3 linked regions of the Rattus norvegicus genome follow. The protein of the gene in region 3 binds, or shares a complex with, the protein of the main gene of each other region. Links are inferred from orthologs where the notes say so. Each region holds a gene or a part of one and is shown on either strand. Other genes may lie near its edges. The genes, in order: Kcnip1, Kcnip2 and Kcnd2.

Evidence for each region.
Region 1: the proteins of Kcnd2 (region 3) and Kcnip1 are in contact, whole or in part, in a cryo-EM structure (PDB 7E8E), measured with the Homo sapiens proteins. The link is inferred for Rattus norvegicus from reciprocal best matches to the Homo sapiens genes KCND2 and KCNIP1. Residues at the interface, in NP_036413.1 of Homo sapiens: Ala2, Val5, Ala7, Trp8, Pro10, Phe11, Ala12, Arg13, Ala14, Ala15, Ala16, Ile17, Gly18, Trp19, Met20, Pro21, Val22, Ala23, Ser24, Gly25, Met27, Ala29, Pro30, Gln33, Arg35, Lys36, Arg37, Thr38, Gln39, Asp40; in NP_001030009.1 of Homo sapiens: Thr60, Arg62, Glu63, Val66, Leu67, Arg69, Gly70, Phe71, Asn73, Glu74, Phe85, Ile88, Tyr89, Gln91, Phe92, Tyr101, Leu105, Phe109, Phe122, Leu126, Leu129, Leu130, Lys137, Thr141, Leu144, Tyr145, Val162, Ile165, His185, Phe189.
Region 2: the proteins of Kcnd2 (region 3) and Kcnip2 are in contact, whole or in part, in a cryo-EM structure (PDB 7UKH), measured with the Homo sapiens proteins. The link is inferred for Rattus norvegicus from reciprocal best matches to the Homo sapiens genes KCND2 and KCNIP2. Residues at the interface, in NP_036413.1 of Homo sapiens: Val5, Ala7, Trp8, Leu9, Pro10, Phe11, Ala12, Arg13, Ala14, Ala15, Ile17, Gly18, Trp19, Met20, Pro21, Val22, Ala23, Ser24, Gly25, Pro26, Met27, Pro28, Ala29, Pro30, Trp55, Asp57, Arg61, Arg100; in NP_775283.1 of Homo sapiens: Arg112, Gly113, Phe114, Asn116, Glu117, Cys118, Val123, Phe128, Ile131, Tyr132, Gln134, Phe135, Phe136, Tyr144, Leu148, Phe152, Phe165, Leu169, Ile172, Leu173, Arg180, Trp183, Ala184, Leu187, Tyr188, Met201, Met205, Ile208, Met211, His228.

What each region holds. Positions count from the first base shown.
Region 1 is NC_086028.1:18,736,085-18,745,447, reverse strand, and holds part of Kcnip1 (Kv channel-interacting protein 1), read left to right. Parts: intron 1-252; coding exon 253-285; intron 286-5,153; coding exon 5,154-5,278; intron 5,279-6,648; coding exon 6,649-6,718; intron 6,719-7,968; coding exon 7,969-8,039; intron 8,040-8,792; coding exon 8,793-8,900; intron 8,901-9,363. UniProt on the Homo sapiens protein: Regulatory subunit of Kv4/D (Shal)-type voltage-gated rapidly inactivating A-type potassium channels. Regulates channel density, inactivation kinetics and rate of recovery from inactivation in a calcium-dependent and isoform-specific manner.
Region 2 is NC_086019.1:254,587,073-254,596,435, forward strand, and holds the end of Kcnip2 (Kv channel-interacting protein 2), read right to left. Parts: intron 7,795-9,363; coding exon 7,699-7,794; intron 6,767-7,698; coding exon 6,713-6,766; intron 6,134-6,712; coding exon 6,009-6,133; intron 5,724-6,008; coding exon 5,654-5,723; intron 5,513-5,653; coding exon 5,442-5,512; intron 5,326-5,441; coding exon 5,218-5,325; intron 5,027-5,217; coding exon 4,922-5,026; intron 4,799-4,921; coding exon 4,736-4,798; coding exon of another isoform or gene 4,622-4,735; exon of another isoform or gene 4,459-4,621; coding exon 4,411-4,458; 3' UTR 3,100-4,410; downstream 1-3,099. UniProt on the Homo sapiens protein: Regulatory subunit of Kv4/D (Shal)-type voltage-gated rapidly inactivating A-type potassium channels. Modulates channel density, inactivation kinetics and rate of recovery from inactivation in a calcium-dependent and isoform-specific manner.
Region 3 is NC_086022.1:50,737,311-50,747,387, forward strand, and holds the start of Kcnd2 (potassium voltage-gated channel subfamily D member 2), read left to right. Parts: upstream 1-5,174; 5' UTR 5,175-5,727; coding exon 5,728-6,842; intron 6,843-10,077. Other genes in the region: uncharacterized protein Kcnd2l1, read left to right, coding at 3,619-3,788, 3,976-4,042, 4,203-5,003. UniProt on the Homo sapiens protein: Voltage-gated potassium channel that mediates transmembrane potassium transport in excitable membranes, primarily in the brain. Mediates the major part of the dendritic A-type current I(SA) in brain neurons.

The sequences.
Region 1 (9,363 bases), on a different chromosome or scaffold from region 3:
GCTCGGAGCATGCTGGATGAGCCCTGCTGGTAGTGTGGGCACTGGGAGGTGACCCAGTGCTTGTGCCTGTTCTGACTGTGGGGAAGGGAATGGGAAAGCCAGGCTCTGTTCTGCTGATGAGAGGCTCCTTGCGTATATGAAGCTGGGTGATGACCGGGACTCCCCCCATGAGTGCCTCTCCAATGACAATAAAAGTGTGTTGTGCTTTTTAAATGAATAGATTTGGTAAACTGTTTTCTTACTTTTTCCTAGACATCGCCTGGTGGTATTACCAGTATCAGAGAGGTAAAAAAAAAAAAAAAAAAAGTCAACACTCTCTTGACTGTCTCGGTCACATGACTTGAAAGGAAGAACTTCTCGATCAAGGATATGTTCTGCAGCTAGCTTTCTCGTTCACTAGACTTTTGTGCCCCTTGTTAGCAAACCCAGTCTGTGTAGAAACCATTAGGGGTTTTCTCTTAGGGGTGGGGTTTAAGGAAAGCTTTGTTCCTCCTAAGAGGACCATATTTTTTCCTTCTGCGCTAATTGAACAACTGTAAGACAAAGCTCAGAGCTTTTACTGACACATAAGCTTAAGTTTAATAACCGTTCAGAACAAATGGCCAGAATGTCTCTGTTCTCCTCCCCTCCCGCAACGTGGTCTGCACTTCCGATCGCATCGGCATTTTCTGAAGCAGTTTTTTTTTCTTTATCTGTTTTTATTCTATTATTCAGTTCCTATGACCCACTTCACGTTCTTTGTGAGATAGAGTGGAGACTTTAGATAGGCAGACTGCAGGAGAATAGGCTGTGTGACTAAGACAGGAGAAAGGCAGGTGGTGGGGAGACGGAGGAGGTGTATGAAGTCCCACCCTCAGCAGCCCCCAAACCAGGAGACAGCTTACATGAGCCCAAAGTGAAGCCGGGCGCGGGGGTGCACACCTTTAATCTCAGCACTAAGGCAGAGGCAGGGGCAGGTGGTTCTCTGTGAGTTCAGAGCCAACCTGGGCTAGAGAGTGAGTTCCAGGACTTCCAGGAATAAATAGAGACACCCTGTCTCAGAGAGAGGGGGAGAGAGAGAGAGAGAAACAGAAACAGACAAAGAGAGACAGAGACAGACAGAGAGATGCAGAGAGACACAGAACTAGGGGAGTGACAAGTGCCCTAATGACTGTAGCTACCCAGAGTGCCCAAGCCCCCACTCAGCTGTAGCAGATGATGCCCTGGTGTGAATTTAAGATTCAAGATTTTCCAAGAGAAATATGAAATACAAACTTGGTTGTAGATTTCTTTTCTATAAACATTGGCAACTATTTTAAAATGAGCCTTTATGTATTTCTTACAAAACCTCTCTTTGAACTACATTCAAGCTAAGGACCACAATTTTGTAACCTCAAAATGGATAAGATGGGTGGGTGGGTGGGTGTGTATAAAGTACAGCCCAGATCCTGCCTCTGCTCAACACATGTGCACACGCGCACACGCGCGCGCGCGCACACACACACACACACACACACACACACACACACACACACACTGGAGAAACTGTATTCTAAGCCAGGGAAGAGATGGTCATAGTTTTGGGTCATGGCCTTTGTCATCAGCCAGAGAAGATACCTCAGTGACATGTACCCCCAGACGCAGGTCCCTACTGCTCACAATCTGTGGACCTGACTTGTCCACAAGCATGGCACTTCTTAGGAACCAAAGTGAGTCAAGGCTGGTCACAAACCACCTTACCGTCTGTGCTCCGGTGAAGTCACCATGGAGATACAGGGCAGCCGAATCTGATAGACCAGTCCTGGATTGGCTGGGGTTAAGGTGCAGCTTTGTCACTGTTGACCTGTGTCACCCAAGCCTCAGACAGGAGTTAGTGGCAGAGTTTGGGGAAGAATGACAATAGAAGGTATTTCAGGGACTCCGTTCAAAAGATATGGAACTCACTGGCACTATAGGGGGCTTGATACGAAATGACGTTTCTAAGAGGGTCTAAAGTTTTCATCCATCCTATACCATGAATAACCTGAAAGCCTAAAATGTTTTATTTTTAATTACTCTGAATCATACCCGGTTTAGTCTAGGACTCTCTGCTGTATCGCCCTGTACAATTTATCATTCCAGCTCACATTCACCTCGGGTGATAGACATTTATTACCCCGCGAGCTCCTTGTAGTTAGAAATTTACCTTTTCCATTAAGGTAATTGACTTCTAAATATCAAGTGACGAGGGTGCCAGACCCCTCACCCCCACCACACAGGTGAACATTACAAAGAGAAAATAATCTCATTGATCTTTATCAAGCAGAACTTCCCATCGCATTAACCTCACGATTGGCTTTGATCCAAACTCGGTCTGACTTAATGATTAGTTCGCCGTTACTTTAGTAATGAAAAGAATAACAGAAAGAAGCGTTTGGCATTGAAGACTCACAAGAACCAAACAGTAAGGAGCTCCCGTGTGTTAGTTCTGATTCTGTGTAACCAGGGAGCTAGGCCAGTGTCCTCCTTCTACCAGCTCTGTCCTGAGATGTCTGGGGAGTCCCCAAGTGGACAGGAGAGATGTGAATGCCACCCTTCCAAAACAGATATATTTACAGTGGCCCAGAACAATGAGGCTACGAGGTGGTAAGAAAGGGAGGCACATCCAGATGTGGGCCAGTCTAGACAGTTGCAAAAGCTGTGAACACGTTAAGTTATTGTTTTCCAATGAAAGGCCAGGGCTCACCAGGGTCACAGCAGCAGAGGTTTGCCTAGGCTGGAGGGCATGTCACGTCCGTCAGAGACAGCATTGCCTCACGAGGTTTTACCTTCCAGAGATCCCACGGAAATGTTGCACGTATTTATGCACACACTGGGTTGTTATGTAAGTTACACGCTTACTTACCGGTTTAGGCCCCTACTATCCATGGGTGGCTACTTCCCTACATCTCAAGCCCCAATCACCTGAGTTTCTCCCGTCGGGGATGTGACCACAGACGGATCATTAGTGAAGGGCAAAGCCTGAAAGCAAAGGCTTGGCCGTCAGTCAAGCCTGTCACTGCTTGATAAGGAGTGACTCCTCTTCTTAACGAAGTGGGTTTAATAGCTGGTGTCTCGGTAATTAGCACCTTTGAAGCAAAGTGATGGGAAGTGAATGCTGGTTCCAAATTGAAAAAAAAAATTCCCTTAAACTTTTGCAAAACAAAACAAAACAAAACAAAACAAAAACAGTCTCCTAGTCTCCTTAGCTTATAAGGAATCAGGCACAGGAGATTAAGAAATAGCACAACACACACACACCACACACACACACACACACACACACACACACACACATAAAAAAAATATCTTTTTTTCTTCTGGGTCAGATAAATATTTGCAGGTAGAGACCTTTGAAAGCAAACCATCTCTTTCCGAAACAAATTTTTCCACTTTCTTATTTATCTCTTAATATTTATATTCTAATTCTTCTTCCTTTACTGGGGCTACCTGGGCACTGCCCAGTAGATCCTGGGGAGCAGGCAATATGTGGTATCTATTATAAGCCTCCACAGCCCCTTTGAAGTTTCTCCAGAACATACACAGCACTTTTTTTTCTTTTGCTAAGACTAACCAGCAACTGATTTCTTAGGATGAGTTTGAGATCTCATGAGATACTCGGAGCTTCCCCTGTTATACCTGTGTGTACTTCCCCCCGCCCCCTTGCTTTTCATTCTGGACACTGGCCCTTTGATTTACACAGAAACCTTCTGCATTAAGGTAATTGGTACTTAACTCATTAGCTACAAACATAAGGAGAAAGAAAGGCTTCGTAAGAGTTCTGAGGAAATTGGCCACTTGCCACAGTGTGACATAAACAGAGTTTCTTATTTATATTGGATCATTATCTATCTCCCTCCCAGAAGAACTAGGTGATGTGCGGGACCCAGCATGTAAGAAAGATAACAATTAGGCTTGGCTGCCGCATTATTGAGGCTTTACTGTAACATCCATTACCACTGGGATTCTGCTCAAGATATAAATTTTGATGGATTTGTTTTGTGTTGGGATTTAAGTGTCACGGTAGCAGAGAAAATCTGGCGCTAAGAGCCCAACCCTGCCTGCAGAACAACTACACTCACTGTACCTGTTCGCCTGGTTCTGCGATGCAGACCCAGGCCGCCTCCTCTGACTTACCATGGTGCAGTGTGGGCCGTATGTTCCCAGCAGCCTGCTCATCCCGCCCTTGTTTTCACGAGGCAGAAGTTGGAATTGTTCAATATATGGATTTGCTGATGCCTGTGTGACAACGGTAGGCAGGGTAGGGTAGATGGCAAACGATCCTTGCCTGGAATAGATTTACAGAAAAGAATTCTGGCAGGGCACAAAGAGAGTGAGTAGTCACTCATCCCTGTCTGAGGCTAAGCTCCTGGAAGCAACCGCCGACGGATGAACTTTGAGTTGCTTCAAAGGAAGATAAGTGGAGTCAGCCGACAGGCACTTTGCAAACGAGGTGTCCCATTGGACACTGTTCCGATGCGTGCAGGAGGTTGAAACCCTACTCTCTTATGGCTGTTTTTATAGAGCCTTGCAAATGTCCTGGAAACCTTTCTTTATGCAAAGATGCTCGCATTGAAGTTGCTTCCCTGGTATGTAAGGAGACCTAGCGGATATTACAGAATAATGCTGTGTGCAAAATACATTCTGATTCTTTAAAGTCACATTCAACACAGCGTACTTTGAACTTCCCACTGAGTCTCCCTAGCACCTCCCTCGCTAGCCCGCACGGTGAAACCTCATCCCTTTTGAAAATAGTTACGATTCCTTCCCCTTTACTGTTCGGAGTCTCATTCTGCTCAGGCACCAGCGTCTCTGCATGGAGAGCAGTGTTATGGAGCTTCAATTTGAATATGCAAAGATTCAAATTGGTTTTGAAAATGTTTTTTGTGTGGCTGTGTTCTGAACACTTCCACCCTCAGCTGCCTATCTGAGATGCTGATGGCCTTTGCCATCTGTCACATTTAGAGTAACATGGTGGGCAGATTTCGACACAGAGTGAGTGGGCAGGGGAGCGGGGTTCAAGGCCCATGACCTCCACCATGACCCCAGTCCAAGCCCAAAGTCCCGGTTCCCAAGATCACACCTCGAACAGCTCATACTGTGACCCAACACAAACCAAGGAGGTCACATTCTGATGCCGTCCCCTCTGCTTCCAGACAAGATCGAGGATGATCTGGAGATGACCATGGTTTGCCATCGGCCTGAGGGACTGGAGCAGCTTGAGGCACAGACGAACTTCACCAAGAGAGAACTGCAAGTCCTTTACCGGGGATTCAAAAACGTAAGACCGCCCCCCAGAGACTCGGAGGCCTGTTGTGTTTCTTGTCACTTGACTAAGCTTTTCCCGTGCCAAGGAGGTCCCCAGAGTGCAGAGATCCAGGAAGGCCACTGCTATGAACCTGCACCTGGTGAGAAAGAAAGCAGGAGGACCAGGCCTCAGACAAGGCAGACAGGAACCTCACCCACTGCAGAGAAGTGCCACAGGGTGGTGTGACCTTGGGGAAGCCTTCACAGCCAAGATGCAACCTTAGCTTGACCGGCACTCTCTACCCTCTGTTTGGTGTCCAAAGAGTGATGGGATTGAGCTGTGCTGACTCATGCTAGAGAGGCCTGCAATGACCGATGTATAAGCCCAAATGCCACTGTGTTCATTTCTCCTTGAAAGTTAGGACAGGTTGGGGATTTAGCTCAGTAGTAGAGCATTTGCCTAGCAAGCGCAAGGCCCTGGGTTCAGTCCCCAGCTCCGAAAAAAAGAAAAAAAAAAAAAAAAGAAAGTTAGGACAGTGGAACCAACACTTCTGTCCTACTGCTGTGACCTTTTCCTATGTGCCACACAGAAAGCCACTTCTTAGCAAAGCAGTGTGTAAGGAAGGAAGTTCAAAATTGACACATACCCGAGGCTACTGCTGTCTTCTGGGATGCTTTGAGAGCTCTCACAGCCCAGCCTGGATAAGGAGTTTGGGTTTAACCCTTACAACATTGAGCACATTCATATTCCCAAATGGCTGGGTGGAGTTAAGCAAGCGAGCTGTTCTGGTCACCTCCCTCCAGGCACAGCCTCCAGCAGGAGCTTGGTCAAGTGTCCTACAGCTCGACTAGTTGGTCATGTGTCTGATTTGCTACTGTTGGGCATTCTTCTTTCTAATGTTGAAGAAGCCATGTTAATAGTGCCCCGCTGAGCTGGAGTGAGGTTCTGGGAGGTTGTTTCCCAGTTGGGCACTTGTCTAAGAGGAGACCAGAAAATAGAAGAAATTCCACTTATTATTTTGGCAGCTACCCTAGTCTCAGTGCTACCTAATATTGAGGGAACTGTTAAACTCATTCCGAGGGTAAGTGTGTTCAAGATCACAGGCCACCTCTGACGAAGCCGAAAACCTTAAAGCAGGCTTAACCAGGATCCAAACTTAGACCTGTCTAGACCTAAACCCAAGACTCTCCCAGCCCAGTCCCTATTCTGTGATCTCCCCTCACTTGCAAAATAGCTTTTCATGATAGTGTTACCTCCAAGACCTCCTGAAGATACCCAGTACACATGTGCTTCCTAGTCTCTGCCCAGGAGAGGGCATGAGGACCCTGCTCAGTCTCCACTCCCTAGTACAGGCTCCCAGACACTTCCCACACACACACTCTCTCTCTCTCCCCCACACACAGGAGTGCCCCAGTGGTGTGGTTAACGAAGAGACATTCAAGCAGATCTACGCTCAGTTTTTCCCTCATGGAGGTGAGTATATGCTTGGAAAAATGCCCTCCCAGCATCCTCTCCAGTGGTCAGCCTTCTCTTTCTCAACCCCTCTGTTCATTATCTTTGGGGTCAAAGGAGAATTCATGGCAAGATTTTTTTTCTTACTACAAAATATAAAACTCTCTGACAAACAAATATGAGCCCACTCAAGGGGAAGAACAGATATCGCAGTAACAGAAAGTCCCATAAACAGCTCTAGAAAGCAGGCATCATGACCCCGGAAGGAACGATTGAGTTTCAGAGACATTAAGCATTTTATTCACGACCACACAGCTCGAAGGTGGCAGCCGAGGAATAGGAAAGTATAAGGGGCAAAAGCTTTGTCATCTTGGTTCCTTGAACAGCTAAGACGGGTTGAAATCTTGTAAAGAACATTAGTAAATACTACAGACCATAAAAATCACTGAGCAAAATAAACTGTGGGCAGCGTGAAGTTGTACTTATTTATAAAGTCAGGTCAGTGAGGCACTGGACTCCCACCGCCTGCTCCACACATCCGTGCATCCTTCCCCCCTGTGGCTTTCTTGTGTCACCTGCTCACAGGAGTCACCTGAAGAGTGCGGAACACCTGTTCCGGGTCCTAACAAAAGAAAGACTTCAAGTGTCCCACATCCTTCTTGGGCCCTATCTATCACGGGCCTTCCCAGCAATGCACAGGTGTCTCCCTGGTGTGGGATTCGGTGCAGGGTTTCTCTCTGTGTCAGGGAGAAGTGGCTTCACGTCATGCTAGTACCTGACTCCCTATGAACGCCCCCCAGAGACAGTTTGCCACTGTGTGGCAGGGAAGGCTCGAGTTTAATGTATTTCTCCCCATGTCTCAAGAGTCAGGTCTTGCTACATCCCACTGTACGAAGATGGGGAATGGACACTCTGAGGTGTTGCATTAAGTCTACAAGCACAGCTATATGGAACCAGCTTTGATACAAGCTCGGGTCTCTCCTCACAAGGAGGTGCCCATGCCATGGCAAGGAACCCTGCTTGGGACACCTCTACTCAGTCACTGCCCAGAGGACCAGGCCACACAGAGGAACAGGCAGGGGAGACAGTAGGGAGAGAGATACGAACCGTCTAACCTTGTGCTAGAACTAATTTCTCGCCTAATCTTCAGGACTGAGCAAATGAGTCTCAGTCCATCATCCTCCCTCTCCTCTCTCTGGCCCCACCCGTGCTGCCTCTGCCCTCTGTGGAGCCTTGACCCCCACTCACCTGCTTCCCCCTCTACTTTGCAGATGCCAGCACATACGCACATTACCTCTTCAATGCCTTCGACACCACCCAGACAGGCTCTGTAAAGTTCGAGGTATAGTATGTGGGTCCAGTCGGGGGTCCCCTGGTTCCACAATGCCTCTCCTTCTGAATATGACAGTGCTGGTGGAACGAGTTAATTATCAAAGTCTTCATTTAAGACAAGAAACTTGATTCATTTAAGGAATAGCACCTGAAGTCAGAGAAGACTCTTGTCGTCTAGACACTGTGCGTTGGGGTGGTAGAGACAGCCTAAGAGATCCCTTGTGCCCTGTAAGCCGAGCGGTAACCTCTGGACCTAGCATTTCTTATTTATTAACCTGTTTAGCTTTTATAATAGTGCTTACAAGGCATGGCCAGATGGTTATTTATTATCAATTAACAGAAGAAGAAAATGAGGCAGAGAGTGAGTAGCATTTCCAAGATCAGAAAGAGAAAGAAAGTGGCCAGGGAGGCCTTGAACACAGGCAGTGTGTTTCCTCAGCCTGTGCTCATAGCTACTGGAATGTACAGTCCCTCAGACGTTAGCAACCATTGCAGCCTTGGATTAGGATCAACGAGGGAGGCTGAGTTCACACATACAGAGCTCAATTCATCCTCAGGGGCCATCAGAGACTGAGACAGTGTAGGTACAGGGAACGGAAGATAGGACTGGGCCTCCCCCAGGCTGGGACTGGACATTTCCATCTGGCTAACGAGAGGGTGTGGGAGGCGCCATTTTGTAAAAGCATCACGGTCCAATCTGGAAGTCAGGCTTCTCTCCACCCACGCAGTGGTTAACGTGAGGCCTGCCTTCTTCACTTCTTAGGACTTTGTGACTGCTCTGTCGATTTTACTGAGAGGAACGGTCCATGAAAAACTGAGGTGGACGTTTAATTTGTACGACATCAATAAAGACGGCTACATAAACAAAGAGGTAAGTGAGCATGAGATGAACACAGTGGAAGCACTGAAATCGAAAGCAACCCCAGACCCCGGAAAACACTGAGTGAAAGCGAGTCCGTCCCTAGCAGAGTGAGGAAGCCCACCGCTGATGTCCCCGCCCAGCCCCGCCCCTGTGCTCAGGAAGCTGTAAACCGCTCCTCACAAGCCCACACAGGTGCGATGGGCTGAGACTGTCTTTTGGGGAACCTGCATCTCCCCCTGAGTAGCAGCCTCCTCACATTAAAGCTCAGTATAAGCCTGGAAGGATGAAAGGAGCCCCCAGAAGAGAGCAGAGAGCTCTTCGAGACAGAGGTGACATGGGCCAAATCCCATTACCCACAACCCACTCTGCCTAATAAAATCAAGGAAGGGGACGATTTGGGGTGGTGGGCAATTGTCTTAAAAAACAACCATCACGGGGTTGGGGATTTAGCTCAGTGGTAGAGCGCTTGCCT
Region 2 (9,363 bases), on a different chromosome or scaffold from region 3:
CTGAGGATGAACTTCAGAGACCCAAAATTTGTGAGAGTGAGCTGGAGGGTACAGCTTGGTGACACAGTGCTTGTGCAATACACACCAGGCCGTGGGTTTCACACCCAGCAATCTCTTAACAAAACGTGAGACAAAACAACAAACATTAGCCCTGCCCCATCCCCCCTTCTCACCCACTGTGGATAGTGGGCCCACAGTTTTGATCAGATCTTCCATTCGAAACAGAAGAACAGAGTTCTCAGACGAGATATGCAGGAAACAGACAACAGACGCACTCTGGAGGTTAGACACTTTCTGTGCTGTTGGGGATTGAAGCCAGGCCTTCAAAGTGCTGTTTATTGTACTCCTACAAGGGAGCTTTGCCTCCTCGAAACCAACCTCTTCATTGACCTTGTCAGTGTGTTTAGGAAGGGAGAGGGCCTGACTTCCTCCTCTGGATGAGTCAGCACATAATGGAGTTCCAGAAAAAGGATGGGAGGAACCTGCCATTCACCACTCCCAGTGGACAAGCACTCAGGAAATCTGTCCTTGCCTCAGGTGGCCTGCACTGAGTCAGTGACCGCATGATCACTTACATAATGGCAGCACCCGTTTGCATCAGGTGGGAGAAAGTCTTTTTAATCGAACTCGACTTGTGAATTGGTGACATGGGGCACATGTGGAGATCAGAGGGCCAAAGGGATAGAAGTCAGGTCATCGGGCTTGGAGGGAAGACTCTCCTTCCACCATGTGGATCCCAGGGCTAGAACTCAAGTCATCAGGCTTGATGGCAAATATCTCCACCTGCTGAGCCAGCTCTTTTTAATAATGCCCAACCATGCTGCACTAAAGGCGGGGAGGGAGGGAGGAAGGACTTCTCAAGAGGCAGCGTTCTCAGCGTTCTGTGAGTCTGACACTCTTGATTCAGAATTTAATAATGTTTGCCAAAGCTGGGCCTGGTGGAACAAACCTGTAATTCCAGCATTTGTAAGGCACAGGTAGGAGGGTCAGGAGTTCAAGGTCACCCTCGGTTACAAAGGGAGATGGAGCCTGGCTATGTGAGTTCCCGTCTCAAACATTAAAGAAAAAAAAGGGAGGTGGTTACCAAAAAGGATAGCTTGCCTCTGTGAAAACTCGGATTGAGCTGATGAAGGGTATGGATAGGCACTCATGGAGTGAGAGGATATGTGTTTCTGTAAGCATACGTGTGGCCACAGAAAAGGAATCTGAAAAGCTCCTCCACATATACCGCGCCCTAACCCTACTGTCTTTCCAGTGGGATTGACAGCCTTTTCGTGTGTGTGTGTGTGTGTGTGTGTGTGTGTGTGTGTGTGTGTGTGTGTGTGTGTAGCCCATCCACAGCAGCTAGTTCCTTATGACGGCGGTGCAGGGTGCTATAAAACATTGAAACAGGGCTGGAGAAATGGCTCGGTGGTTAAGAGCACTGACTGCTCTTCCAGACATCCTGAGTTCAATTCCCAGCAACCACATGGTGGCTCACAACCATCTGTAATGGGATCTGATGCCCTCTTCTGGTATGTCTGAAGACAGCGACAGTGTATTCATATATATTGGTATTCTGTCTAAGTTCCATCCCAATAGCCAGGTTTGTTCTGCCCTGGCAACAGCTAGCTGTGCCTGACACTATATAAGGGGCTGCTTGCCCCCTCCTGATTCTCTCTTGCTCTCTCTTGCTCTTCCTCTCTCTTCTCTGCTTTCTTGCCCTCTCCCCTTGGTCCCTTCTCTCCCCATCCCCCACTTCCCACCACGTGCTCATGGCTGGCCTTTACTTATCCCCCCTTCTACTCTTCTCTCATTAAACCTCTCCACGTGGAGAACCGTGTTGGTTTGGTGTGTTCTGTCTGGATGCGGGCCGAGACTTCTACCCCAACATTGGTGTCTACATAAATAATAAATCTTTTTTTAAAAAAAAAAAAGTTCAAGCCCATGCCCAGCTACAGCATGAGTTTGAGGCCAGCCTGACCACATGACACCCTGCCTCAAAAACCAATGCCCCAAGAAAGGAGGAAGAGAAAGTATGTCATTTGGATGTAAAGAAAGGGAGAATGAAAAAAATAGCGTACATTTCCTCTTATATGCAGAATCTAGAGTTTCGCACAAACGCACACACACATGCACACGCACCCCAAAACAAAAGGGAGATCACTGGGATAGAAAGGGAAGACCAGCAAGGTAGGCGAGGGAAGGTAGTTGAGCGGGTGTGTATGAGAGGCCACAGTGACGTATGCTTGTGGGAGAGGATGGCTCAGTTGGTAAAGTACTTGTCGGGGACCTCCTGAAGTTGACCTCCAGCACCCAAAAGCTGGGTTAGAGACCAAATGTCGTAATCCCAGCACTGAGCAGGTGTAGACAGGTGGATTCCTGGGAGCCAGTCTAACTTAATGGGTGAGCTGAACTTTCAGTGAGAGATCCTGCCTCAAAAAAATAGGCTGGAAGAAGACACTCCAACATTGACCTCTGGCCTCCATAGGCACCTACGACCCACACAGAAAACACATACAAACAGGCACACACAAGGAAGAAAGAAAATACCACAGGAAACCCTATGACTTTGTATGCTAACAACAACAAATTCTCAGAAAAAAAATATTGAAGGTCCTCCTTGGTTAGGAAACATTTCCTCAAAAGGAGATCGAGAGAGAACACAGAACAAAGGGTCAGACACCAGTGAAGCTAAAATCTGAAAATATGTAAATGCATATACGCGTTATGTAACATGCACAGATATTCATGTGTGTATTTGCTTCAGTGCTCAGGATTTACGGTGAAATGGGATGGCAAGTTTTTCACTTTCCTGAAATGGAATAAAATAACGTTTATGTCAAAATGAGGTGGGTGGGGGGAGACAGCCTGCTCCGTGCATACAGTCCTTACATGCCATCCCACCTTTTCCTGTGTCTTCTCAAGTCATGCGAGGAGATTCGTGGAGGGGCTAAGGTCAGGTGGATTTCTAACCTGAGTCTTGGTCATGTGCCAAGTCATAGCCATCCTTGGAAAGACAAGCACTTCCTTGAGCATTTAAAGGGCTGCAGGTCTGTCGTTGGATTCCATGGCAATTGCATGGCGGCGGTGGGGGATAAAGAGGCAGAGCCAGCAGGCTGTGCATAGCCGTGTGTTTTATTGGATCTGATGTCTTATTTTACAAAATAGATAGAAGAGCCCAAAATGCAAAGCAGTCAACCATGTCTGACGGATGGGGAAACGGGAGGCCCTTCCCCTCAGACCCTGGCTGACTGAGAAGGGGCGCAGGAGGAGACAAGCAGGTTTGTTAATGAGGAGCAGCAGCATGGCAGGGTGCTGACCTGGAGAGGTTGGACCTGGAGCCTACCGTCCCTACCCTCTAGGTGAGCTCAGGAGCATCTCTGGGTAGACTAAACAGAGGGAGCGGGTACCCTAGGGGACCCTAGGGCATTGTGAGGAACCGGGCAAAGATTCTAATGGGTGCCCCCACACTGGGTTCTTCCCATTCCCCTAAGGCAGCCACTAGGAGGAGTGGTAAAACTCAAGTTCGGGAAATCCCTGACTCACTCCATGCCTCTACATCTAGATAGGGGTCATGGAGAACCAAACAGCTGTCATGAGAACAGCCGGAGGGGAGGTGGGACCTTGACAGGCATCATCCGGGACACCACTCATCTTCCCCTGGCCACCACTCCCACCATACGAGCAAGAAGGAGGGAGAGGATTCAGGGATGAACCAGACATCTGGATCCCGGGCCCTCCTAAGACACTGAGAAGTGTATGGTGAATTTCTGGGACATTGCTAAGGACCTTCTGGAAAGTCTGGGAACTCATACTCTGCTGACCCAGGGCTGTAGGCCCTGGAACCTGCAGTGACAGCCCAGCTGGGCTCTCATCATCTGCCCAGGCTTTCTGGCCTCCACTCCAGCCAATTCCTAGGACCTAACCACTGGCTCGGGGCCAAGACTTTTCTGCTTTCTTGTCCCCGCCTCCCCACAGGGCCCTCAAAGGCTAGGCTGAGAAGCCAGCTGGGGACATGGACAGAGCGTGTTCTCTGAGAAGGGAGTCTTGAGGAAAATCTAAGAGATTAGGGATGGGGAAAGCACCATAGCAGGAGACCTTCTGTCTAATGTGGTTTCTAGAGTGGGACTAGAAAGTGGAGAACCACTTGGTCCCTACACCAGGGGTGTCCTCAGCACTAGGTATCAGTTGAGAAGGGGTGAGAGCTGTCGGGGGTTGGGAAGCCCCCAGATTTAGCTTGCCTACTCTTGCCTACTTTTGTGACTTAGCTCAGGGATCTGGACTACTGAAGCCCCAGGATATTGAATCCCTACAGCCCCCAGGGTACAGGTAAGATGAGGACAGGCCTGGAGAGAGAGGGTTAGGTTCGTCTGGACTAGGACTACAGCCTGGTCACCCTAGGACACACTAACCCCTCTCCCTGGGGAGCTAGATGACATTATCAAAGAGCTGCATGGACCTCATGATGTTCTCGTCCTGTGGTCATGACATGAGGGAGGCAGGTAGAGAGAGAGAGAAAAAAAAATAAAAAAGCTTGTCAGAGACACAGAGGAAGACATTCAAAGATGGGGGCATTCAGGAGTTAGGAAGAAGCTTATCTAGGGGGATCTGAGGTGGTAAAAGGGTAAATCTGCCCTGGTCATAAAAGAATAGGATTGGGAGGTGGGGAGTGAGTGAAGTTGAGAGGAGCCTTCTCCCGTTTCACGGATTTAGGTTCAGAACAGGGACAGATGTGTAGAGAGTGGAACCATACCTGTTGACAAGACTCGATGAATTCCTCGATGGTCACCACGCCGTCCTTGTTCCTGTCCATCTTCTGTAAGAAGGTGGACAGGCAGGGGCGTGAGGGGACAATGGGAGAGAGATACTTAGGTTAGTGCCTTCTTGGGCCCTGGTGTCCTTCCCTCCACCCCTGGGCCACCAGCCTACCCAGACGCACCTGGAAGAAGCTCTCCACGTGTTCTCTTGGGGCCTCCTCCCGGAGGGCAGGGTATGTGTACTTGCCCATCATGTCATAGATGGACTTCATAATGTCAAGCATTTCCTGTTAAGCCAAACGAGAGATTTCACCTAAGAGCCTCTAGCCTCCAGATTTACAGCCTAGGGCCAAGGACCGACTCGACTCGCTCACCGCTTACCGCTGACACATACGACACACATGGTTCCATACCAGATCCGACTCTACATTACCAGCACCCCACCCCCCACCCTTCTTGCCCTGCGGTGGCCCTGCACCTCCTTTGTGATACAGCCGTCCTTGTTGAGGTCATATAAGTTGAAAGCCCAGCTCAGTCTATCATCTATGGTCCCCCGAAGAATCACCGACAAACCAGCCACAAAGTCCTGGAAAGGAGGTGGAGGGAACTCTGCCAACCCACTCTTTGGGTTTGGCGTGCAAATCTTGGCCCCCAGAAGCCCAGGGAAACAGGCTTGCTTGACCCATCTCTCTTAGCTCTCACCTCAAAACTGACAGAGCCATCGTGGTTGGTGTCAAAGGCATTGAAGAGAAAAGTAGCATAGTTGCTGGAGTCTGTGGATGAGGTGGGACACGAACGTGGTCTTCAGGCAGGGGTACTCACGTCCCCTTAGCTTTCTCAACCCCCAGTTTCTCAGCACCCCCAGGCCTCCAGAACCCTCTTCCCACCTCAGCCTTGGGTGTCTGACTCCTCACCTCCTTGGGGAAAGAACTGAGAATAAATCTGCTTGAAGTTCTCCTCGTTGACAATCCCACTGGGGCATTCCTGGGCAGAGACAACCAGACTGAGTAGACACTCCCTTCCTACTCATCACCCTGAGAGAGACTCCCAGAAGGAGGGAAGATTATCCTGCCTCTGTGGAACTTACCACAGAGTTCTGGTAAGGACTAGCAAGCAACTTCTTCCCCGTGTACAAACAGACATGAATTAAACCATCACAAGCCCAGCTTACCAACCCCAGGGCCCTGAACCTCAGGATATAGGTTGGGTCAGCTACGCCTCTGCCTCTCCGATTCAGCCCTTACCCAGTTGGTGACACCCTCCACTCACGTTCTTGAAGCCTCGGTACAGGACCTGCAGCTCTCTGCGTGTGAACTTGGTCTGTTCCTGGAGTTGTTCCAGGCCCTCAGGTCGGTGACACACCGTGGATAATTCAAACTCATCCTCTACGCTGTCTGTGGGGAGTGGGAGGGGGATAGCTTTGCCTCAGGTCAAGCCCCTGAGATCACGTGGGTAATCTTCAAAGTAACTAATCCATCATCACCCCCACCCCCACCCCCTTCTCCCTGTCCCCTCTTCCACACCCGAGAGAACAGTTTGCCAGACTCAGAGCTGAGAACATCGAAGGAAAAAAAAGACACTGGCCAGCTTTAAGGTCAGTTGGGGCTAAGGCTATGCCTGGCCCCAGATTCAGCACTGGCTCCTGGCCCTTGGTAGGGGACAGTCCAGTGTTATAGCTTCTCAGTAGGGGGATAGAATGGGGCCCCAGACGCCAGAAGGTCGGAACCTCTCTTGAACCAACTTAGAGCTGCCCAACCCTAGTTCTGGAGGGCCCACAACCCAGCCCGATCCCAATCGAACCCCGTCCATCTCAGCCATGCCCGAGCCATGCCCCGCCCAGCTCCAGCCAATCATCATTCAGACCCCAAATCCCAATTCCAACCACCCTCAGTCCCACCCTAGCTCCCAACATCCATCCCTCCAGGCAAGTACCCTCCCCTCCCAATCCCGCCCCAACCAGGAGAGTAAGTCACCTGGGTCCAGCGGGCGGGGTCTGTGGGGGCGGAGGGAGGCTGGGGCAGCTAATGCTGAAGGGAGCGAATTGTCACCGAGAAGGCGGCAGCAGAAGATAAGGCCAACTGCAGACACTCCCCAGGCCCCACACTCACAGGAAATCTCACAGACTTGAGTGTTTCAACAAACGAACCCCAGACCCACAACAAAGGCACATCGCAGTGCACACAGACATTCATGATGGTATGGGCTCCCCATAAACAGTCCCCTTCTTTTTCCAAGGTTTTTCCACTCGGTGACACCATCCGAGTGAAGCAACTTTAAGTGCTCAATTAGCTACTGGGCCTTTATGGCTTATAAAATTCAGTGCGTTTTTTTTTTTTTTTTTTTTTCCGGAGCTGGGGACCGAACTCAGGGCCTTGTGCTTCCTAGGTAAGCGCTCTACCACTGAGCTAAATCCCCAGCCCCTCAGTGCGTTTTTATAAGGTGGGCAAGGCTCAGCTGAAGAAACGGAACCTATAGAACAGAGGAGGTCCCTACTTAATTGGGGACCACTCAGTTCAAGATCGGGCTAGGACAGAAAAACCTCGGTATCCTGACATCTGGGAAAGTGGGCTCCATCCTCTACACCTGTCACCTGTTAAGGCACAGGTGACATACATTCCAAGGTCTAAAACAGTAGGGAGGCCACAGAGTTGCAGACCAACCTCACCAGCTGAGCCAACCCATCACGGTCTTGGCTATACTTACAAGGGCTCGGAGTTGAGGCCTTAACGCACTAGCCATGGTTCACCATTCTGCAGATTTAGGGATGCTCACTCACAAGCACTCATGATTTGCCTGTTACATTCCAGTTTGTAGCTACACCCTTAACATTCAGACCCAACCAATTCCCAATTCCCGTCACATATCGCTCGCTCGCTCGCTCGCTCGCACGCACGCACGCACGCACGCACGCACGCACGCACGCACGCCCCACCCCCAGAAGCATAGGAGAGGCACTTGCTTTCACTGACTGAGGGCAGGGCTTGGGGCCCGCAGCACGGCAGCAGCTTGAGGAAACGCTGCTTCAGGGCTTTTTTACTGGGCCCTGGAGGGTGGCCTGGGAAGAGAGAAGACCCCGGGAAGGTACATTAACTCCCACAGCCCCTCAGTTCTCTGTTTGCCTATCTGCTCCCCCACCAATCACAAATCAACACTGGCTGGGGTGGGGACAGGAAATGAATGGGGGCTGTGTAGATGGGCAGGATAGCTGGGGCCAGGATGCCTCTTGGGTCTCATAGGCATGGAAAGTCAACCTCGGGCCAGGCTTGGTCATGTTGTATAAGGAGAAAAGCAGGTAAGAGTGAGGCAGCCTCAGAGTCTGCTAACTGCTAACCCCACTTAGGGTAATGTCTAAGGAATTGTCGGAATAGGACTCACTCTCTCTCTCTCTCTCTCTCTCTCTCTCTCTCACTGTCTCTGTCTCTCTCATGCACACACATGCACGTACCCACAAGCATGTTGCATAGTAACAAGTGAGAATGGCAAGTGACATAGAGAAGACAGTAACACTTGATGGTATAAGCATGTTCCAAACACAAAGTTTTACCCAAAACTCTAATATACACAAATATGACCAAAGTAAAATATGATCACACATATGGAGAGCCTTATAGACCATCTCATGCACAGTATGATCAAACCACATAAAATATACAAGGACCCTCAGGCATCATAACACTATAATGATCTCAAGACAATAATAACCAAAGTTATTATGATCATTACATTCTGACCTAGATCTCTGTGAAGGTTAATATCTATTATTAACTTGACTGGATTTAGAATCATCCAGAAAGCTGGGAAGTGGTGGTGCATGCCTTTAATCCCTGCACTCAGGAGGCAGAGGCAGAGGCAGGCAGATCTCTGTGAGTTCAAGGTCAGCCTGGTCTACAGAGTGAGTTTCAGGACAGCCAGGGCTACACAGAGAAACCCTGTCTTGAAAAAGCAAACAACAACAACAACAACAAATTTCCTAGAAGACACACCTCTGGACATTTGGTTGAAGAGGAAAGGCCCACCCTGAATGTGAGTGGCATCATCCCATGGGCTGGGGTCCAGACTGAATAAAAAGGGTACAAAAGAGAAGGTGGGCTGAGTGCCAGTAATGATGTATGTTTCCTGACTGGGACAGCTTACTGTAACCTTCACTACTGCACCTTCCTAACACAATGGACGACACCTACAACTGTCTGCTGGTCATTCATCACAGTAGGAAGTAACTATTACAGAGAACTGGTTCCAGGAGTGGGGTTGTTAGCACAAACCTGAGTGGTCTGTAGGCCTTTAGGGCCGGTTTATGAGAGAAACAGAGTCTGAAGCCATGGGATAGAGAAGGCCTAAGGTACTCTAATTAGGGCTTACTGGGCCGTTTTAGTGAGATCGTGGCAGACAAGCATGGCAACAGAAATGCAGACAGTGGGGCTCATGACACAGTTCAGTGGAAGAGTACTTGCCCTTGAGAAGACATTACATGAACCTCTGAAGCTGATACCTAAGCTGCATTGGAGCCTCAGGGTGTTGGAGATGCCAGAGCTATGGGAAACCGTGAAGGAAAGCTGCCGGCATTAAATAGAGAAGGTCCACGAGAGATTACAAGTAACAGTGGGAAGGGACTACCCAAGACTTG
Region 3 (10,077 bases):
TGCTAGTGATTGTTATGGACGCAGAGATGAACAGGATAGAAAAATAGAAACATGGGAGCATCTTCATAGAAGCAGGGGAAGGGGAGATGGGACCCAGGGGCGGGGGGGGGAGATAACATTTGAAATGTAAATAAAAAGAAGAAAAAAAAGAAAAATAGAAACAGATCCACAAGAAACATTCAAGAGAGTTCAGACAAAGCCTTAAAAAATGTATATCAGTGGGGGGTGGGGGGAGGCAGCCATTTTAATAAAAGTTGCAAGTGCACTTTCAACTTTTTAAGGACAAAGAGGATGCAAAAAGTAGAATTGTAGAATGAAATTTACTTTATGCAAAAATTAAGCCAAGGAGGTCATAGGTTTGATTTTAAAATGTAAACTATAAAGTGCTTAGAAAATTTAGAGGAAAATATTAAGGAATAAGAGCTTTTGCTTGAAACCAGCAGGGTAACTCCAAGAAAGAAAAAGTTGATAAATTGAGTCTCTGCAAAATTAAAACTTTTGCATTATTATAGACGCAAGAGAATGATTCAAAACAAGCTACACGGAAGAAAACTATCTGAAAATGATGTGTCTGATTCAGGAACACCGTCTAGAATCTGTATACTCTTCTAAATAAACACGTAGGACCAACAAAGTTCAAATTGAATATGTGTTGCAGAATATGTGCAGATGAGAAATAAACACAAAATATCTTCAATAAGATCATTACGAAATTAAAAACTAAACTGCAATGGGGGTACGAATGATTAATCATTGTAGACAGTAGTGAATGTGGGGTGATCAGACCCAAATCATTAATATCCTGCTGCAGTTAGGGGAAAATCCAGCGATAACTGAATTACAATTCAATTTGCTTATGCAGGGAAAAACATCTTTAAAGTGAGGATGAGAGGAGGATGCTGGAGAAACAGGGACTCTACTGAAGTGGAGGAGTGCAAAATCACAAAGGTCTGGAAGAACCAGGCTGAACTCTTTATGATTCAGTGCTGGTACAACCGATGCTCAGGAAGCTTAGCCACGTGTGTCCTCAGCCTCTGTGGGAGGCACTCCCGCACCTTCACAATGGGCTGGATCAGGTTCCTTTGTCAGTCTTATTAAGTATTCTCATGTTAGGCGATCTCAAGAAGTTATTTTAGGTAGTATTCTCAAAGATAAGTGGTAGAGAACGGACTAGTGGACGGATGATAAGAGTCACAGGGTGGGGTGCTGTTTTATGTTTATAAAAGGGAACCCTTCTTATTGTCATGTGCTTCGTGTCTATTACGATGGCAGACAATTAACAGTAACGAAACCTAGAACTAAAGGATAAGCACGAACGTCAGTGTTTGTAAAGTTGATAGATTTTAAAATGGAGTCGTCGATTCCATCTTCTGTGCTTAGAAAGTGTGTGTCCCCCGGATTCATATGTTGAAATGAACTCCCCCAGTGAGGCAGCAGTAATATGCGGAGGCTGTAGGAGACCATTGCACAATGAAAAGTAACGATTAGGTCAGACATTCCCCCGTTGGGATTAAGCCCGAGAGGGTCTGTCATTTCCTTCTACTACAGGAGACAAAGTTCGGTGTTTCTTCCTGATTACAGAAAGCAAAGGCTCACTAAATCTCAATACACTGGACCTTCCGATACTCTTGGCTACTTGACCTTAGATTTCCACCTTCCAGAAGCGTGAGAAAAGAGATCTATTTTCATAATCTTCCCAGTTTGTTCAAATGGGACTCAGGGGATATTAATATCGCCCTCTGGCTGTGATTTAATAGGATGTGAGGGGATACCTTTAGGGGAACTAGGCAGGGAAAGTAGGACCCCATACCTATTGCTATACCTATTCTTCATAGGCCTTAAGATTGTTCTCAACAACAACAGCAAAACCTCTCTAAATGCTATGTAGGGATGAATTGGGAGTGAGCACGGGACACTGAGACTCACTGGGTCACTGTGTGTCTGCTAGGGGAAGTAATGAAGGAGTGAGTACCATCAGGGGTCTTCCCTGGCCTTCACTTCAGGAGAGGAAGGAGAAGCCGATATGATTAGAAGGTAGTAATGAATTCACTTTTACTGTATTGAGTTTTTGTTTGCTGCCCATTTAATCAATATGGCGTAGGATACAGGATGGGAGGGATCAACCGGGATTTAGGACAAGGAGAGGAAACCCAAGGCCTCTGTTGGCTTTTCAATATGTAATCTCTAGATGTTTTAAGGAACAGCCGAACATTAAGATGTCAGGCATTTGCCTGTTGGGAGAGGGAGAAATGCTTTATTCAGAGATAAAAGTAAGTATGATGTCTTTGTGGAAATCCCATGCACAGGCTGCATAAGATGAATTGCATGCGCGTTAAAACAATAAAATAGCTGGTTTCCATGTTCTTAGCAAAACACACTGGACCTTGGGAAATATGATCTTTAATTTTTACAACAAGCCTAACATGTTTTATTGTTTTACTGCCTTCCGAAATGGTAGACGTCATATTATCTAAGGCGTCTTCTCATGAAGTTACATGTTTCTTTTGTGTTCAAGTATTTGATCTCCCAGTGGGGGATGTGGAAAGGTCTGTTTCGCAGGTCTATTCCATTCTTACACGGAAGCACGATACTATGGGCTTTTAATACCTACGCCCCTTTCTTATCCCGATGTCATGACTTCATCTTGCCACGATGCCATCATTTTTTTTTTTTTTGGTTAAATTTGTACCTTGTTTTTTTATAATGATTGGAAGGCATCGCCTCCTTTCTATTGGCTAGTTCTCAGCTTTGCAGACTTCGCAAGCATCCTTCGCTTGGGTGATACAAACAAACAAACAGCAGGTGTCCCACACTGCCATGGTGCATTAGCTTCAACTTTGCTACCTACCCTCACTGGAATCCCTAACCCCGCACAAGTAAGCAAGCACAGCAAACAAACATCCAACTTGACGGCTACTCCCGTGTATTACAGCGGATGCTTATTCTCCTTCTTTGACGATTTTCTATACTTTAAGTTCATAGATTCTCTTTGAACGCCCATTTAAAGTAGGCACATCATGCTTATGGTCTCTCTCTTATTGGTTTCTACACAGCAAATCACAACCCACATTCTTCCCATACAAAAGACAGCAAAAGAAGCCTTGAAAAATAATTTTCATGTAGAGGTCAGGCTGCTCTTTCCAATGAACTTCACTTTTCCCATGATCTTAATGGTTTTTCTGATCATGACTTGGTATTTGAAATGTAATTTTTCAAAGACATTTCAACAAGAAACACTGACCATCATATTCCAAGTCCATCAAAATGCATCTGAAGCCTGAACAATGCGCGTCATATAAACACTGAAAAGGTGGGTGGTCTCGGGAAATGTAAGGATTTTTATGTGATCTGATTCTCCATCGAATCTGTAAATTTTTCTGATCCTTTGCCTTTCTAAAACAGCAACCTTAGATGTAAATTTAACTTCTCGCCACTCATGCCATCTAGTGGCCACTGCTGTTAAAAGCTTGATTTTTAAGGAAGACACCTAATGACTGGGGGCGGGGTACACGAAGACCAAAATCGGTTGGCCACTACAATTTTCCTGTCTCTTTTCCCATCACTCACCCCTCACCGGGACACGTTTTCTTCCTTTGGTCATTTTAGATATGCGCAGGGATGCGCAAAGGGCACGAAGAGACACACACTCTCAGAGCCTCACTCCCCTGCACACTGACATTTAGAAAAGGGTCTAAATTCTCCTGTCATTTGCAAAGGACAGGGGGAAAGGAGTTGTGGCAAGACCTAGCCAGAGGAGACTTGTGTGACTTTTCCAGCAAGTTGGACGGGTAATATATTAACCTTAGTATCGTTAACATCTGTTTTGAACAAAAATAATTACAAAAAATTAAAGAACGAGGGGGGAATCACTTAAAAATTCTGCCGCGGAGCTTTGCAGGTTTTGCGACCCAGTCGCCCCCCAAAGGCAACCAATTCCTTCGCGTTCCGCTCTGTTCACCCCCCCCCCCTTTGCAGCTTTTCTCGATTTTTTTTCGGCCCCCCTTTCCCACGCTCATCTGGAACCGGGGCTCCGGAGGCAGCAGTAAGCCACCGGTCCCCTTCCTCCTCTCTTCCATCAAACAGCCGCGGCCAAGCGCCTTGAAGCTTCCCTTTGTTCATCCGAGGCTCCCTCATCCCCGGGATAGAACCACCTGGATGCTCTCCCTTGGTGACATTTGGCGTCGAGGCTGGTGGGTGGCTAGGGTGGAGCGAGAGGAGCCCGAGGGGGCGGGGGCGGAGAAAGGTCAAGGCGAGGGAAAGGCAGGAGACGCCTTTGCCTAACCTGCGTGGCGGGGCGTTCGTGCGGCTCTCGCTCTCTCCCTGCTTATTTATCGATCGCACGGGCAGAGCAGCGCGCGGAGCTCGCTCGGGGGAGATGCGGGACCACCCACTGGCGGGGAAGCAGCGAGCAGCCCTCTCGCGCCCCCGCGCCGCCGAGCGCCTCCTGCCTCCGCGCCCGGACGCCAGCCCACTCCTGCCTCGGTCCCGGCCCCACGCTGCCACCGCCTGCCCCGCAGCCCCGGAACCCCGCAGTCCCGGAGCCCCGCAGCCCCGCAGCGCCCCGACCCCGGGGACGCCGGCCGCGCAGTAAGTTGGCAGGAGCGAGTGGCCTGGGCGGCTCGCCTCCCCCGCACCTTTTTGAACTTGTTGCTGTTGGCTCTGCTCGCCTGCGCCTGGCTTTTGGGAAGGTGACAAGGAGGAGGGAGGCACAGAGGGTGGGGGAAGGGGACAGAGAGCTCGCCAGAGCTTTATTTATGCTCCCCGGGAGCCTGGGATCTGGCTGCTCGGGAGCCGCTGGCTCTGCCTTTCCCTTTCCGGGTGCAAGGCGACAGCAAAGTCTCTATGCAACTCAGCCCCGGCGCGTACTTTGCCAGGTATGTACGGCGGGCGAGGCGCGTTCTGCGCGGAGGCAGATGCTGCTGCCGCCACGGCGGCGGCGGCTGCCAGCTCCCGAGCTCTATAACTGTCACACTGCACCTGAGCTGAACTTGAACAGAGAGTGAAGGGGCCCATCAGGCGAACGCTCTCTTTCGGCTGGCACAGAGGGTGTCAGTCGACGTGAGGGGACAGAGAACTCTAGACCGACGCCCCCCGCCGCGAGCCCTGCACTTCACCTCCATCTCTGCAAGCGCAGCGTTGAGTAGAGGAGGCCAGCGGACTCCAAGGGACGCGGGACAGCGGCTGTGACCGCATTTCTGGAGCTACAACAACAGGTCGTCTTTTTGAGACGCCTTTGGCGGGAAGGACCACTTCAGCAGAAGGGGAAGGTGAAAAGGTTCTTTCTTTTAAGAGACTACCACTGGTTGACTTTCCCTGTTTCCTCTCACCTGCTCTATATACCGACCCTGTATCAACCAGACTGTATCAGGGGAGAAGTGAAGACACCTGTTTGAAGCAAGGCTGTCTCTAAAGTCACCTGTGCGTTTAGATGTGCCAGGAGGTGCCCTGGTCCAACTGTTGGCAGAGCTTTGTTTAGGCTCTATGGAGAGAGATTTTTAGGTCACTGTATTTTTTTTTTCTCTCTTAGTATTCCAAATACTTGTCTGTGAGAGAAATCTGGCTTTTTGGGTACTGTGACTTCACCTGCGCCACCTTGGAATAACCGTGTTCCTGTGAGCCGTGTTCCCCAGTGTTTTGTCTGAGGTGAAGAAGTGGGGCATTTTGTTACTTTCATTGTGTTACTTTGGGTGACCCCTGATCACTCTTGTGACCTCTACTTCAGACAACATGGCAGCCGGTGTTGCAGCATGGCTACCCTTTGCCAGGGCAGCCGCCATTGGGTGGATGCCTGTTGCCTCCGGGCCTATGCCAGCTCCCCCAAGGCAGGAGAGAAAAAGGACTCAGGACGCTCTAATTGTGCTGAACGTGAGTGGCACCCGTTTCCAGACATGGCAAGACACCCTGGAACGATACCCAGACACTCTGCTGGGCAGTTCCGAGAGAGACTTTTTCTACCACCCAGAGACCCAACAATATTTCTTTGACCGTGACCCAGACATCTTCCGCCACATCCTCAACTTCTACCGCACGGGGAAGCTTCACTATCCCCGCCATGAGTGCATCTCGGCTTATGATGAAGAATTGGCCTTCTTTGGCCTCATCCCAGAAATTATTGGCGACTGCTGTTATGAGGAGTACAAGGACCGCAGGCGGGAGAATGCAGAGCGCCTCCAGGATGATGCAGACACTGACAATACAGGAGAGAGTGCTCTGCCCACCATGACTGCTAGGCAGAGGGTCTGGAGGGCCTTTGAGAACCCCCACACCAGCACCATGGCCCTGGTGTTCTACTATGTGACCGGGTTCTTCATTGCCGTCTCAGTCATCGCGAATGTGGTGGAAACAGTTCCATGTGGGTCTAGCCCAGGCCACATAAAAGAACTGCCTTGTGGGGAAAGGTATGCAGTGGCCTTCTTCTGCTTGGATACCGCCTGTGTCATGATCTTTACGGTTGAGTACTTGCTACGCCTGGCCGCAGCGCCTAGTCGTTACCGTTTTGTGCGCAGTGTCATGAGTATCATCGATGTGGTGGCCATCCTACCCTATTACATTGGGCTGGTGATGACAGACAATGAGGATGTCAGTGGCGCCTTTGTCACACTCCGAGTCTTTCGAGTCTTCAGGATCTTTAAGTTTTCCCGCCACTCTCAAGGCCTGCGTATACTGGGGTACACACTGAAGAGCTGTGCGTCAGAACTGGGCTTCTTGCTCTTTTCCCTCACAATGGCTATCATCATTTTCGCTACGGTTATGTTCTACGCAGAGAAGGGCTCTTCAGCAAGCAAGTTCACCAGCATCCCTGCAGCCTTCTGGTACACCATCGTCACCATGACAACACTGGGGTAGGTGCCTTTGTAGGAAATGAGATGGGGATTGGACATGGGGTGGGTTGATTATGAATCTCTTCCGGCTTCCTGATGCTTTAGCGTGACTACATTTTTTTCTCTTAATGGATTTATGAAAGCACTTATTCAAAAGTTTAGAAACAAATATTTTGATCTGTGAAATGGGTATGACAAAAAAAGATTGAAATTACCAGGGAGTTGCAGGCAAATATTAATTACTGATTCTATATAGTGACAAATATAGAATTATTTGACTAATTATGTGGATGGCATGTTTTTCAACCTAAGACTCCTGTCTAACTTTACATCATTTTAAAAATTATAGATACGATTTTCAAAACTTTTATATCAGTATGCTATTATGTTCATTTTCGTTATGAGTAATGTGTTATAATTAGAATATCAGATCAGAAACAGGTCAACTATACAAAATATAATGTTTGGAAGTCTAGGTTTGCCTCCTTTTGTAAAGAAAGAAGCATATGCCTGTCAGTCATCCCTACAGTTTTCAGAAGCTATGGTTCCCATCAGTCAGAGAGTCTACAGATGCTCCATCCACTACACATGGACGGCAGAGCAGCGTCTGTGAGACCATTGGTTACCATGGATCAGTTGCAGTGTGCAATTTGGGGTTCAAAATTTCTCCTGGAGTTCTTTCCTTCATTCTTTTATTTGAGGGCATGAAGTTTTACAAACCAAAGGAAGGTTTTCTGAATTTGTGTTTTCAGAAATGGACTTCTAGGGAAAGAATTCAGACTTCTCTAGATGTTATAAAGAATGGTGTGGAGTGATTAAGAATGTTACTCAAACTGCAGAAAAGTAGCAGCACTTGTCGGGGTAGGAAAGCTAACAAAATAAACCAGAAAGAGAGGCTACTTTGCAGAGTTCGTAGGTGATCCTTGGAGAGGTATCAGTGTTCCTTCTTTGGCTTTGTGGCTACCTTTCTTGCCTACATAATCAGGGTAAGAAGGATTTGATAAGGACTCTAGGAAAAAAAAGTTATTCCCAAGGCTGTATTCTTGGTTTTGTGTTTCTGACTCACTTAATTGGCTTCTTTAAATGACATCGTGGTTAAAGTCAACTTAATTTTATTGGCCATATTGTGCTGAACAGAATTTCTCGTGTTATATGGCCAACTAGTGGAATATGTTTTTATGAGGGGAAATTTCTGGCTGAGTTAATGAAGAAGACTGGCTGAAGTAAAATATAGTGCTTTGGATTTTGATTAAGTCTGCCATATCCTTGAGGATATAATTATAGCTTTTAAAAGGTGAATGAAGGGAACTCAAATCCTTCTGCTTTCCTTCCCCTTTATCCTGTTGGCTGTTTTGTGACAGATAAGAGAGGATGTGGCAGATTATTACAGGTGCTTACCCTTACTCAAAAGAGTTATGCCTTTTTTTTTGTTCTGTCTCTGTGTTGTGTGAATCATGAAAGGACAGTCAGGTAGCTAGGATTGCTGTCATTTCCCATTCGAGCTCTACTAAAGAAGCTCTATGTTAAGAAGAAAACAAAGGAGAAGCTACTGAGAGACAATACACTTTACAAAACGTGGTGGCGTGCAGGTTTTTCCTGAGGTCTCAGTGAGTCATTTAGAATTGCATGCTGTCTGGATGCTCGAACGTAGGCATCATTACAAGGAATAGGGACAAGTTTCTAATTTTTTAAGGAGCTGAAATTCTGGACGTGAGAAGTTAATGTCAACATTCCTTTCTGGAGACAGCTTCCAATTCTTTCTCTATCTTGAAATGTCTGCTACTTTCTGGAAAAATGGGGCTGTGTTACTATTACTGCTCACAAGCATTCTCTTGTGGATGATTTAAGAAACTGCGTTGAAATACTTGAGCAGCATCTGGGCAATCAGTTCCATTTGTCCTATAGGAGAGCAAATACAAACAGTTAAATACACAAATCTTCTAGAACTTGGAAGCAATAAGGGGGTTGACTTTTAAGACTTCCAGTTTGAATGAAATTGAAAGTTTTTTTAAGAAGATAATCAATGACTCATTAAAAAAAAAAACAACACCCAGGCTTTTAAAGCAATAAAAATATATGTGAACATTGAGGAAAGCCTGTGTTTTATATAATACACTACTCTCTGTTAACAGGAATATCTGCAGTTCCTTTTCTAAACGTGTTTATAGTATTTTAATTGCCTGCACAAAACGAATCTTAAATGCCTTGTCTTTTGGTGTTTTACTGTTAGTAGCCTTGTGGCTCTGTGCTATTTAAGAGTGGAAGGGATGTAACACATCGGTCTATGACTTTATCTTTTATGCTGCAACTTTAGAATGGGAAGTATAAACTTTCTGGAAAATATGCAGTAGTTTAGCAGTTGTCAAATTGTGACTGATGGATGTCCAAGAGTTTGACACCAGACTTTCTATGTTCTCTTTATGTGGCTATTATTTTTAATGAAATTAATATTTATTAATTGATGATATCAGACGTGAAATTGACATCCCACACGATGTTATCGGAAGTACCACCTGATATGAACACTGTTTTCATGAGAGGAAAAGTAACCAAGCACCTTCTGATTCAGGTCTGAAAAGACTCAGCTAATACTTTTTGAGGATCTCCAGTTGGTTTTGGCTTTGAAGAACTCAGTGTGTGTCTCTTGGGACTACTGTATTTATATAATGTTTTCAAACATTAGCTTTGTCATAGACTATAACATGACTATGCTTGCTGGGTAAGTATCTAATCTGACCGGAAAATGAACACAGTTTGAAGGCTACTCATCTTGTATCAGTAAACGTAGAAAACATTGAAAAATATCAATAAAAGGACATAAGAGAAAAACTTGTTAAGTGCTTAGACTGGGTGACATGGGCATCAGTTCTTTCATCTTGCCCTTCCTTTTCAAGCTTATTTATTTACTGACATGGGACCAGGAGGCCACCTCTCTGTCCTATCCTTGTAATCCCTGATCCAAAGTGTAAAGTCTATTGGTTTGAATTGCCTTAGCCTAAAAAGAACCCACAGTCCCTCTTTGGCTAGGGTTTGGGACAGCATATCCACTGGATGTATTCTTCTCTTGCATAATACTAAGATTGGCACATCTCTAAGTATCGGCTAATGACAACCAGAAGTTGATTCGCGAACATGGAGATGAGCCTCGGTTTGCACTCTTCTTCATGGTCATGACTTTCCCATGGAAGAGATCCCAGGTGGCACAGTAAATCCTTGGGGATGTAACATCATGGTAGGCAAAATGTGTGTTCTCAGC